Macaca fascicularis: one gene and its partner. The protein of the gene in region 2 interacts with the protein of the main gene of each other region in a biochemical or structural test. Links are inferred from orthologs where the notes say so. Each region holds a gene or a part of one and is shown on either strand. Other genes may lie near its edges.

Region 1 (5,450 bases), on a different chromosome or scaffold from region 2:
ACACATGCTAGAAATCTGTGTGTAAGACAAGCATTCCGAATGATTCTTCTCGTTTGTCACATTTGAGAAACTCTGCTTTCGGGTTGTTTTCTCCTACAGTTTTGCCCCAGACCTATTTTAGCCTATTGACTTTTTATTGATGAAACTTGGGAACTGACATTTTAATATCAAAATTGCATGGCCAGGCGCAGTGGCTCACACCTATAATCCTAGCACTTTGGTACGCTGAGGCAGGTGGATCACCTGAGGTCAGGAGTTCGAGACCAGCCTGGCCAACATGGCAAAACTCTGTCTCTACTAAAAATACAAAAATTAGCCTGGTGTGGTGGCGGGCGCCTGTAATCCCAGTAACTTGGGAGGCTGAGGCAGGAGAATCCCTTGAATCCAGGAGGCAGAGGTTGCAGTGAGCTGAGATTGCACCACTGCACACCAGCCTGGGTGACGGAGTGAGACTCTGTCTCAAAAAAAAAAAAAAAAAATCACAATCTTGGCTCACTGCAAGCTCTGCCTCCCGGGTTCACACCATTTTCCTGCCTCAGCCTCCCGAGTAGCTGGGACTACAGGCGCCCGCCACCACGCCCGGCTAATTCTTTGTATTTTTAGTAGAGACAGGGTTTCACCGTGTTAGCCAGGATGGTCTCAATCTCCTGACCTCGTGATCCGCCCGCCTCGGCCTCCCAAAGTGCTGGGATTTACAGGCGTGAGCCACTGCGCCCAGCCTGCAAATTGATTTTTAAGTGTACATTCATATTTGAGAACCAATACACTAGGATAAAGGAGATTTTTTAAAACTCCAAGTTACTTGGCTCTTGTTGATAAATTCCCTGCAGTTTTCCATGTGTTGCTTGCTTGAAGGAAACGACTGCCAGAGCCCCATGTGAAGGTGACCCAGTGCTTTTGCTGAGTGTACAGACATGAGAAAGGGTTCCAGGGGTCTCCTCTCAGAGGGCGTATAGATCAGAGGTCAGGCAGCCAGCAGAGGCAGAGCTCTAGTTCTTACCTAGGATTCTTTACTTTTAAGTAAGACTTGAAACTAACTTTCTTCCCCACAGCAGTCCACAACAGAGAGGCCCTGGAAATTAGGGATTCTTTTCTTCCTTGGGATCCTGGCTCCTAATCTTGTCCTCATAACCATCTCCCCCATAAGTAATCTCGGGCATTCAGCCAGAGGATTTTTAAGCCTACAGTGCCAAGCCCACTTGAATACAGTTTTCAGTGTAACTGCATTTCAGCTGTAGAAGTCTCAGTACTTTTCACATGTGAAGTTAGGAGTTATGGTGTCCTATATGTTCTAGGCTAGAAAGATTAAGTTCTCTCTTCTAGCTGGGGTAGGCCTGAGGGGGCAGGGGGCAAGTGGGTTTGGGGTGAAGGAAGGAGGCACAGCAGGGTCAGGGCCTTTTTAAAGAACAGATAGTGTGTATCATGGCTTTCCCCAAACCTCCCTTTCTTCAGATGACCTGAACATTGGCGGAATTATTGGGGGGGTTCTGGTTGTCCTTGCTGTACTGGCCCTGATCACGTTGGGCATCTGCTGTGCATACAGACGTGGCTACTTCATCAACAATAAACAGGATGGAGAAAGGTGAGCCTGCCTTATGTGAAAAAAGGGAAGTTCAAGCTGGCGATCATATAACAACCCTGTTGCTAAACTGCTCTCTTCTCCTCACAGTTACAAGAACCCAGGGAAACCAGATGGAGTCAACTACATCCGCACTGACGAGGAGGTAATCATTTAGTAAACCTGGAAATCTAGGTGTACCCAGCAGGGAAAACAGCATTCCTCCTTGGAAACCACACAGGTCTCCTAGGAAGATTGCTGAGTGATTGTGCAGCTCCTGAGCTCCTCGGCCCCTTCACAGTCACACACACACATACTAATGGGATTTGTGCTTTGCAGGCGCTAGTGATGGTACTTTTTAAGAATGATTATTTGGGCCGGGCGTGGTGGCTCAAGCCTGTAATCCCAGCACTTTTGGGAGGCCGAGATGGGTGGATCACGAGGTCAGGAGGTCGAGACCAGCCTGGCTAACACGGTGAAACCCCATCTCTACTAAAAAAATACAAAAAAAACTAGCCGGGCGAGATGGCGGGCGCCTGTAGTCCCAGCTACTCGGGAGGCTGAGGCAGGAGAATGGTGTAAACCCGGGAGGCGGAGCTTGCAGTGAGCTGAGATCCGGCCACTGCACTCCAGCCTGGGCGACAGAGCGAGACTCCGTCTCAAAAAAAAAAAAAAAAAGAATGATTATTTGATTTGTATTTAGCCCATGTTAGACTTACTCAGTGTTTTTCCCTTCTTGCCACCAGGCCCCTTGATGGCTTTAACTGTGTGTTGGCTTTGCAGGGCGACTTCAGACACAAGTCATCGTTTGTGATCTGAGACCCGCAGTGTGGCTGAGAGCGCACAGAGCGCACATGCACATACCTCTACTAGAAACTCCTGTCGAGGCAGCGAGAGCTGATGCACTTGGACAGAGCTAGACACTCATTCAGAAGCTTTTTGTTTTGGCCAAAGTTGACCACTACTCTTCTTACTCTAACAAGCCACATGAATAAAAGAATTTTCCTCAAGATGGACCCAGTAAATATGACCACAAGGAAGAGAAACTGGGTGCGTTCACCGAGTTGGGTTCCCAATCTGTTTCTGGCCTGATTCCCACACGAGTATTAGGGTGATCTTAAAGAGCTTGCTCACGTCAGTGCCCCTGTGCTGGGCCCTGTGAAGCCAGCGTGTTTACCACTGGTCGTTCAGCAGCCAGGACAGCACCCTGTGAGCCGGCGAGGGGCCGTGCAGCACCAGCAGCACATCCCAGCAGGCACCCAGAACAGGCTTTGTATGCAGCAGCCTCTTCATCGGCCGCAGACACCACTGCAGCCTCTTCTCAAAGGCTCTGCTGATCGGTGTCGCAGTGTCCACTGTGGAGAAGCCTGTCGGATCAGCATTTTGTAGAAACCACCGAAGTCAGGGAGGCAGATTGGTTGCTGGAAGAGGGATCTTGCCTGAGGAACCCTGCTTGTCCAACAGGGCGTCAGGATTTAAGGAAAACCTTCGTCTTAGGCTGAGTCTGAAATGGTACTGAAATATGCTTTTCTATGGGTCTTATTTTATAAAATTTTGCATCTAAATTTTTGCTAAGGATGTATTTTGATTATTGAAATTTCTATTTAAACTGTAAATATATTGTCATACAATGTTAAATAACCTATTTTTTTAAAAAAAGTTCAGCTTAAGGTAGAAGTTCCAAGCTACTAGTGTTAAATTGGAAAATATCAATAATTGAGTATTTTACCCAAGGAATCCTCTCATGGAAGCTTACTGCGACGTTCCTTTTCTTGCACAAGTTTTAGCCTTTTTCACAAGGGAACTTTTGCGGTCTACACATCAGACCGTAGTTGCTTAGGAAACCTTTAAAAATTCCAGCTGAGCAATGTTAAAATCAGTTTGCATCTCTTCAAAAGAAACCTCTCAGGTTAGCTTTGAACTGCCTCTTCCTGAGATGACTAGGACAGTCTGTACCCAGAGGCCACCCAGAAGTCCTCAGATGTACAGACAGACGCCAGTCAGCTCCTGGGGTTGCCCCAGGCGCCCCCGCTCTAGCACAGTGTTGCCTCGCTATCTGCCAGGAGGCCCCGCCATCATTGGGCCCTGGCAGTGGCTGTGCCCCAGTGAGCTTGACTCACATGGCCCTTGCTTCATCCAGCACAGCTCTAAGGTGGGCACTCCAGGGACACTGGTGTCTTCCACGTTGTGTCCCAACTTTGGGCTCCCGTAACAGACCTTTTTGGTTATGGATGGCTCACAAAACAGAGTCCCCACTGCTATTTTTTTTTAAGTTTGTTTAATTATTTGTTAAGACTGTCTAAGGCCAAAGGCAATTGTGAAATCAAGTCTGTCAAGTACAATAATATTTTTAAAAGAACGTGGATCCCACTGTTCCTCTTTGCCACAGAGAAAGCACCCAGACGCCACAGGTTCTGTCTCATTTCAAAACAAACCATTATGGAGTGGCAGCCAGTCCAGCCTTTTGAAGAATGTCAGGTGGAGCAGCCAGGTGAAAGGCCTGGCGGGGAGGAAAGTGAAATGCCTGAATCAAAAGCAGTTTTCTAATTTTTGACTTTAAATTTTTCATCTGCCGGAGACACTGCTCCCATTTGTGGGGGGACATTAGAAACATCGCTCAGAAGCCCGTGTTCTCAGCCTCACACGCCCTGCCGTGCTGGATTCAGGACTGAAGTGCTCTGAAGCAAGGAGCTGCTCAGGAGGAGCACTCCACTGTGTGCCTGAAGAGTGGCTCTCACTAGTCACCTTGTCTTTCAGCTTCCAGTGTCTTGAGTTTTTTATACTTTGACAGCTTTTGTTTAATTGCATACATGAGACTGTGTTGACTTTTTTCAGTTATGTGAAACACTTAGCTGCAGGCCGCCTGGCAGAGGCAGGAAATGCTCCAAGAGTGGCTCAGTGCTCCTTGGTGTCTTCTGCATGGCATCCTGGATACTGAGCATGCGAGTTCCCTCCATCATTGCCACCGTGGTAGAGGGATGGCTCCCCACCCTCAGCGTTGGGGAGTGGCGCTCCAGCCTCTTTCTTGGTTGTCATAGTGATAGGGTAGCCTTACTGCCTCCTCTTCTTACACCCTAAAACCTTCCACACTAGTGCCATGGGAACCAGGTCGGACAAAGTAGAGAGAAGTGAAAGTGGAGTCTGGGAAGTAGTTGCCTATAACAGACTAGACAGAAAAGGAACACTTGTGTATTTTAAGATACGAATGTGACTCAAGACTCGAGGCCGATACGAGGCTGTGATTCTGCCTTTGGATGGACGTTGCTGTACATAGATACTACAGACTTGTACTAACACACCTGTAATTTGGTATTTGTTTAACCTCATTTATAAAAGCTTCAAAAAAACCCAAACATTGCTTCATTCTTTCTTGTTTGCTCTTGTGTTTGTCTCTTCTTCCTGGCATTTCAGTGGTTAGGCGCGCGCACTAAAAATGCTGTCACTCATCCACCAGGGGGGTCGGTGCCTGGGCAGAATGTCGGCCTGTGTGCTCCAGAGCAGCGCTGCGCCTCTCCACCACCGAGTCCACCTGCGTTGCAGTTCCCACTTAGGATAGCAGGGGCAGAGCTCAGTGGCATCCCATCCATCCCCCAAACCAACCAACACACATAATCACTTTGTACTTTTGCTTTTGTAATACTGGGATTAAAAAACAAGCCAACTGCATTTCTTTTTGGATATTCTTGAACAAAAATATCGTTAAGTTTACCCAACAGAGTGAACAGAAGAGACTCAAGCCGTTCCCCCATCACGGGAGCAGCCCTTAGCAGAGGGCTGCACAAATCGGCATCAGTGCTGCTCTGGGGAAGGCCGCAAAGCTATTTTTTCACAAGCAGCGATGCTGTTTATGTCTGTTATAGAAAGCACATGGCCTCTGCATGGGCACAGATCA
Region 2 (6,040 bases):
TGAACCCAGAAGGCGGAGGTTGCAGTGAGCCAAGATCACTGCCACAATCTTAGCTCACTGCTGCCTCAGACTCCCAGCCTGGGCAACAGAGCGAGACTTGGTCTCAAAATAAATAAATAAAATAAAAATACATAAATAAATTAAAACAAAACAAAATAAAATAAACTAGTACACATTCTAAACTAGTAGTACACTCCTCCAATGCATAAAAACAGAAACAACACCTATAATTATCAGTAATTGTTGTTGTGGATCCAAGTATCTATGTAAGAAGCAAAAAGCCCACAGCAACAGTTGTTGTCATCGTTGTCATAAACTTAATTAGTGGGTAGAAATGTCTAGTGCTGCAGCCAAACAGCAGTAGGAGGAGCCTTTCCCATGACTGAGTGGAAGGAGGGAAACCTAGACTATTTCTGGGTCTGCCTTGCTTGAGCTTTCTCTGTCGCCTTGGGCAAGTGACTTTGGCCCTTGGTCAATGTCCTGGAGTAAGATGGGGCTAGCACCACTGCACTGATTTGCTGGGACAGGTGGTGGAAAGTGGTGGTCCAGGGCTGGGAGAGGAGAGGAAGGGCAATGTTTCCTAGGAGAAACTGCACTATGCTGGGGCAGCTGTGGTGCTGCAAAGCGCAGGGAGTGTGGCAAGCGGACGAACCTCATGTCTTGTTTCCTTGTTTTAAGATTGGAGGTGGAGTGGGATGGATGGTCAATCGCCAGCTCTTCCACCTCTAAGTGCTCAAGTTCTGCGCCAACCCAGGGCAGCTTGATTGCTTTCACGTCCCTCGGAAATAACTGGCAAAAAAGAATTTCACATAGTCTGGAACGGGCTTGGGACAGGGACCACTCTTTGCTGACATTTGTCATTCTTTAAACATAATGACATACGTTTATTAAGGAATCATAGTCCATAACTAAGACAAAATGAGCTTCAGTTACGTTCCCTAACTCGGATCACGTTCCTTCAGAACTTCTCAAGCCCGCATGTCACTCATTGCGGAGTCGGAGCCTTCCTCGGGGTTCAGGCGTCTGCGTTAAGCGCGGGCACACCGTGGGGATTCCCGCGTGAGCTTTCTCCGCGGCGTCAGAATAGGCTGTTCACGGATTCGCGTTAGGATTGCTTATGCTGCAGAACTTGAAAGAAATAAATGTATCAGAATTGCGATGTTTACGGTCTAATCTATTTAAGTGGGTGGGTCAGCGGAGGGTCAACAGGAAACTTCAAGGTAAACAGTGACCTCTGAAAAACGCCCGGTCGCTCACAGCTTCCCCACTGCCTCCCCAGAGCAGACTATTAATTCTTGCGTTTCAGGCAGAACTGCCGCTGCCCGACCCTGCAGCCGAGCTAGGGAGCGGGCAGGGCAGAAACCCAGCGGAGCAAGCCGCAGGCTCGAGTCCCCGAGGGCAGAGAGGCTCGGGCTGGAGCCTCCGGGGCGATGAGGAGGGGACTCGCCGCGCTGAGCAAAAACTGCCTTCCCCGGGAGCGCCTGCACCCGAAACCCTCCAGTCCAAGGAAGGGGATTAAAAGTGACAAAGGAAAGGGAAGGGGGGGGGGCTCCGTGGAGACCTCTGGAGGCGTGGAAGGGGCGTCCCCGAGGAGGGGCGAGCGCAGCCCTGCAGGGAGCTGGGCGGGCGGGGTGAAGGGGGCTGGGGGGCGCCCGGGCCACGGTTGGTGGGGGCAGATGGCCGCCTGCCCGGGTTGGCGGTGGGACCAGGGGTCCCAAGCCTCCGGAGGGAGGGAGGGAGGGACGGAAGGAGGCCGGCCCCGGAGGGCGGTGGCGGGGGCGCGGGCTGCGGTCGTGCGCTCCGCCCCGCGCGGGTAGCCGGCCGCGCCTCCCCCTGCCGCATGTGCGCGGTGTTGTGTGCCCGGCCCTGCTCCTCCCCCTCCCCTCCCCTCGCGCCGTCCCCTCCCCCAGCGGCCCCGAGCGAGCGCCAGCGCCACACAGCCCCGGGCCGCCGCCGGCGAGCGCGCCGAGACGCCGAACAGGTGGCCGGAGGCTGCGGGCGCCGCGGCGGGGAGAGGCGAGGCGAGCCCCGGGCGAGGCGAGGGTGGCCGGGCCGGACCGGGCATGCGAGCTGAGCGGCCCCCCGGCGTCGCCGCCGCCTGCCCTCGCCCCTAGCCGCCCGCGCGTCCAAGTCCCCCGCGGCTCCTCCGCGCCCAGCGTCCCTGGTCCCGGCCCCGGCCCCGGCTGCTCCGGCTGCGCTCGGCGAGGGGCGCGGGCCCGCCCGCGGCGGCGGCGGCATGAAAGTGACCGTGTGCTTCGGACGGACCCGGGTGGTCGTGCCGTGCGGGGACGGCCACATGAAAGTTTTCAGCCTCATCCAGCAGGCGGTGACCCGCTACCGGAAGGCCATCGCCAAGGTGAGGGGCCGGGGGCGCGGGCGGGGAGGGGGCGGCGGCGGGGACGGCGCCGGGATCAATATGGCGCTTCCTGGAAGGGGGAGGAGAGGCGCAGGGAGGCGGGGAAAGGGAAAGTGCGGCCGGGCCGGCCTCGCGGGCGCCCCCCGCCCCGGGCTGCGGGCGCCAAAGTTGTCAGCGCTGGCCGGGTCGCAGCCTCGGGGGCACCCAGCCGGGTCCCGCGGCCCCCGCCCTCCCCTTCCCCATCCCCCTTTCCCCGGGAGCTCCGGCCTCAGGAGCGCGGGGCGAGCCGGGCAGCGGCGCACAGGCCGGCCCTGGGCGCTTCCCCGTAGTCTGTAGAGCTAGCCAAGCCCCGAGCCGGCGCGCAGGGGCGCGGGCCGGGAAATCCAGCCCCAGGCCTCTCCCGGCTCCCAGGCCCCGCGGGCACAGGCCGGGGACTGGGAACTTTTGGTGTGAGGAGAGTTTCGTGACTGCCCTCCCGACGGAGGCGGGCTGCGAGCCTTCTGTCTCCTCTCCCTTCCTCGGGCGGGGGCGGGACCGCGGCGGGGGGTCTTTTCCTCCTTGTCCCCCGCGAGCAGGGGCGGGCAGGGGCGCGCGTCCGGGGGCTGCAGGGTTTGGGGAGTAGCCGGCTTGGGATCGGGGAGGCGTTCCCGGGAGGGCCACCGGTGGCACTCAGCACTCGCTTGCGAGCATTTACTGAGCTGATCCCCCTTACTGGGCTCTGGAAAGCACAACCTTGAAACGGTCGCGGAAAGAAAAGTTTTCCTGCGAGGACCTCAGCTCCTACCTATCCTGGGCTGCTTCCATGTGGCTGGGCTGCGGAGCCGGGCCTGACTTCAGAGTTGAGTGGATTTCCCTTTTTCTTGCTGTAGTGATAACATTGTCTCCACTTCACAGCATTCCTCTACTATGTGTCAGAAGTGAAAAGGCATTTTGCTAAATTGTTTTACCGACTGTGTCTGTGTTTGACAACAGCCCACGCTGAAGTTTCTCCCAAGCACCCGGGGATATTTCCTTTGTAGTAGAGTCCTCTTTGGTGGGGAGTGCATTCACTTCGGTGCAGTATTTCCCATTTGTTCCCGACAGTGGCCTGGCCCCTATGGGCTTGGGGGCTGCAGATGACGTTGGAAAGTGGCTTGGTCAGCCCTATTTAGCGTACACAGGGTACTCCGGTGGCATCTTCAGTTCTCTCAGAAATTAAAAATAAAAAGCTTTTTAGACTGCTGTTTTGCTTTTAGTATACACTGGAAAAAGTAGCATAAATTTGGGCTTTTAAAGATAATTTTGGGGGACGTTTAGGAACCCGGCACAAGGATGGAAGACATTGGCTTTAATAGCTCTGTTATGTTCCTTACAGTTGGTTGAACTCTTTTATTGAAAATCAAATAAAATTAGTGGGAATTGGACACCTGTTTATCTTGCAAAGCTGACAAAGGGAAAGAAAACCATCTCAATGGGCATTTAGCTTTTTTAAGTGTTGTTTATGTGTGACAGTTTATGCTTTAAGTGTTCCGAAAGAGTACTCAAATTGTTCAGGCACTCTGGAAACCAACAAAATACTTTGTGCAAGGAAAGAGAAATAAAGTAATATGCACTCTGCAGTATGTCTAGGCTCCTGAATAGGGAGAGGGTGATCGACATTTTCTTTCACTTTATTAATTTTATGTGATTAAAATTGTTTTACCTACTGTGTCCCATGTTTCATCGTGCACAAAATAGACATAGGCTGAACTGCCTATTTGACAGTAGTTCAAATGTTGTTTGAGGCATTCGTTCCACAGAAATTTTGAAGCTTTGACTGTGTTCACAGCACTGTTCTGGGTGCTGGACATCTAGGGGACCCACTGGCTGTGAGAGGCTGAGCAAGAGGCTGCGCAGTCCTCCAGGTGAAGGGGCTGGTGGTGACATGGGGAGAAGAGGGGCCTCTGGGATGCTGGGTGGCTAAAGCGCAGGGCCTTGGTCACAGACCTGGTCCTTGTTATTAACAATTAGCAGTGGTTGTTTCACAGGGCATAGAAAAGGGAGTGCAGTTTTCTTACGGGTGTCTGGGGAGGTGTCACAAAGAGAAAAGGGGGCCTGTGAGCTGAAGGAAGGGAGGGTGATAGTGACATGGGAGTTGGAGATGAGAGGGCGGGTCAGAGATGGGTCAGGGGTTCCAACACTGACATGCTCTTTAAGTACAACTTAGAGTTCAGTGGGTGAATTTTAACGGGGGCTTTGCAGTATACCAAGTTCAATCATTGGATCCCAAGACTGTTGACCCTCATGTTGCCAGAGCTTGAGTGTCTTCTAGGTCTCCTTTTTCTCGTTTTTATTCTGAAATTGCTAGACAATGATTGAGATTAATTTTCAGTCTTTCTTACTACTTTTCCCATTCTATATTAAGTGATGAGGAAGTGATATTATGTATTTAACACTGTTTTAACTTTTATTCTCTGTTCCTTACCGGTATTGCCTAATAGAACAAGAGAAATTCTGTATGAAGAATTGGGTGGCTGGATAGTTGTGGAGTGGTGTTTAGGTTGCTAGGTGACATGTGGTGTGATGAACTCCCATCTGGTGGGGAAAAATGTGGGCAGATCATGTTTATGGCTTTGTATAATAACCAACCAAGCCAAAAATAAAAAATAAAAAGGAAAAGAGAAAGATCCCAACTCTCAAATCACCAAGGCTTTCTCTGCAGTAAACATTTTCTGGTGTGGTGGGGCTAATTTTCTGGCATTGCATCTGGGCTGTTTTCTCTTCAGGTTACACAAATCAATTTTTCTGGATAGTGAAATGTCATGATTTAATACTAGACATGTCCTCAGTGAGTAGATATTTGAAGGCTTGCGCTTAGTCATGTGTGACATTTCTTTTTTCCTTTCATGAAAGATGTTTTTGTGGTTGTGATCACTGATGAGTGGGAATAGCTCTTCATCCTCATCCACCCATCTGCATTAGGAGCCTTGCTGAGGACAGTGCGGTGCTAGACATTGGGAACCACGTTACGTGGACCATTCTCATGGGGGTGTAGGATGGGAGGATGGACTGTGTCTGCATCTGTTCTTCTGTGCTTGCGACCTGATACCCGTGATTATGGTGCTGAGCTGCAGCGCTAAGTGTGGGGTTGGTTGAAGGGCTGCTGTGTATAAAAAGTCATGCTGTATGAAAAAAATATGATTGAATTCGTGCACTTTTCAAAAAAAAGTATAATCTAGGAGACAGGAAGAATATATAGCAGTGTAAATAACAGTAGGTGGTAGCATTATTGGCACCAGTGTGATACAGTCAGTAATCGCTTCTGCATTTTGGAGGTAGGTACTATCATTATGGGGTGCGTGTGGGAGTCTCATGTAGTCACTAGGATTTGAACTGGGCTTGGTTGGTGGGAAGGCTGACCTTGATATAGGGAGTGCTTGCTAACTGGGTAAGGCACCTGCCTGCAGGGGCAGATGGGCTCTGGGTCTGTAGGTCTGCAGTTGGGGTCTAGGTGTGTGAATCTGCAGAATGTCTGCTACGATTTTGAGAAGTGAAAGGGAGGGCATTCCAGGAAGGCCGTATGGACAAAGGCAATTCAGGCATTCAGCCCAGGGGGTCAGGATCAAACTGAGGAGGACTGAATGCCAGGGCAAGACCCTGGGACTTCATGCAGTAGGAAGGACTGTGGCGTTTAGCTAAGAGTCAGGGTAACAAGTAGTTCTAGGA

Evidence for each region. The genes of interacting proteins can lie anywhere in the genome.
Region 1: the proteins of PARD3 (region 2) and JAM3 form a complex in vitro, tested with the Homo sapiens proteins (2 studies listed by BioGRID and IntAct, with this or other methods). The link is inferred for Macaca fascicularis from reciprocal best matches to the Homo sapiens genes PARD3 and JAM3.

What each region holds. Positions count from the first base shown.
Region 1 is NC_088388.1:132,544,178-132,549,627, forward strand, and holds the end of JAM3 (junctional adhesion molecule C), read left to right. Parts: intron 1-1,452; coding exon 1,453-1,582; intron 1,583-1,669; coding exon 1,670-1,724; intron 1,725-2,341; coding exon 2,342-2,377; 3' UTR 2,378-4,911; downstream 4,912-5,450. UniProt on the Homo sapiens protein: Junctional adhesion protein that mediates heterotypic cell-cell interactions with its cognate receptor JAM2 to regulate different cellular processes. Plays a role in homing and mobilization of hematopoietic stem and progenitor cells within the bone marrow.
Region 2 is NC_088383.1:35,574,326-35,580,365, reverse strand, and holds the start of PARD3 (partitioning defective 3 homolog), read left to right. Parts: upstream 1-2,139; 5' UTR 2,140-2,236; coding exon 2,237-2,356; intron 2,357-3,140; exon of another isoform or gene 3,141-3,276; intron 3,277-6,040. UniProt on the Homo sapiens protein: Adapter protein involved in asymmetrical cell division and cell polarization processes. Seems to play a central role in the formation of epithelial tight junctions. Targets the phosphatase PTEN to cell junctions.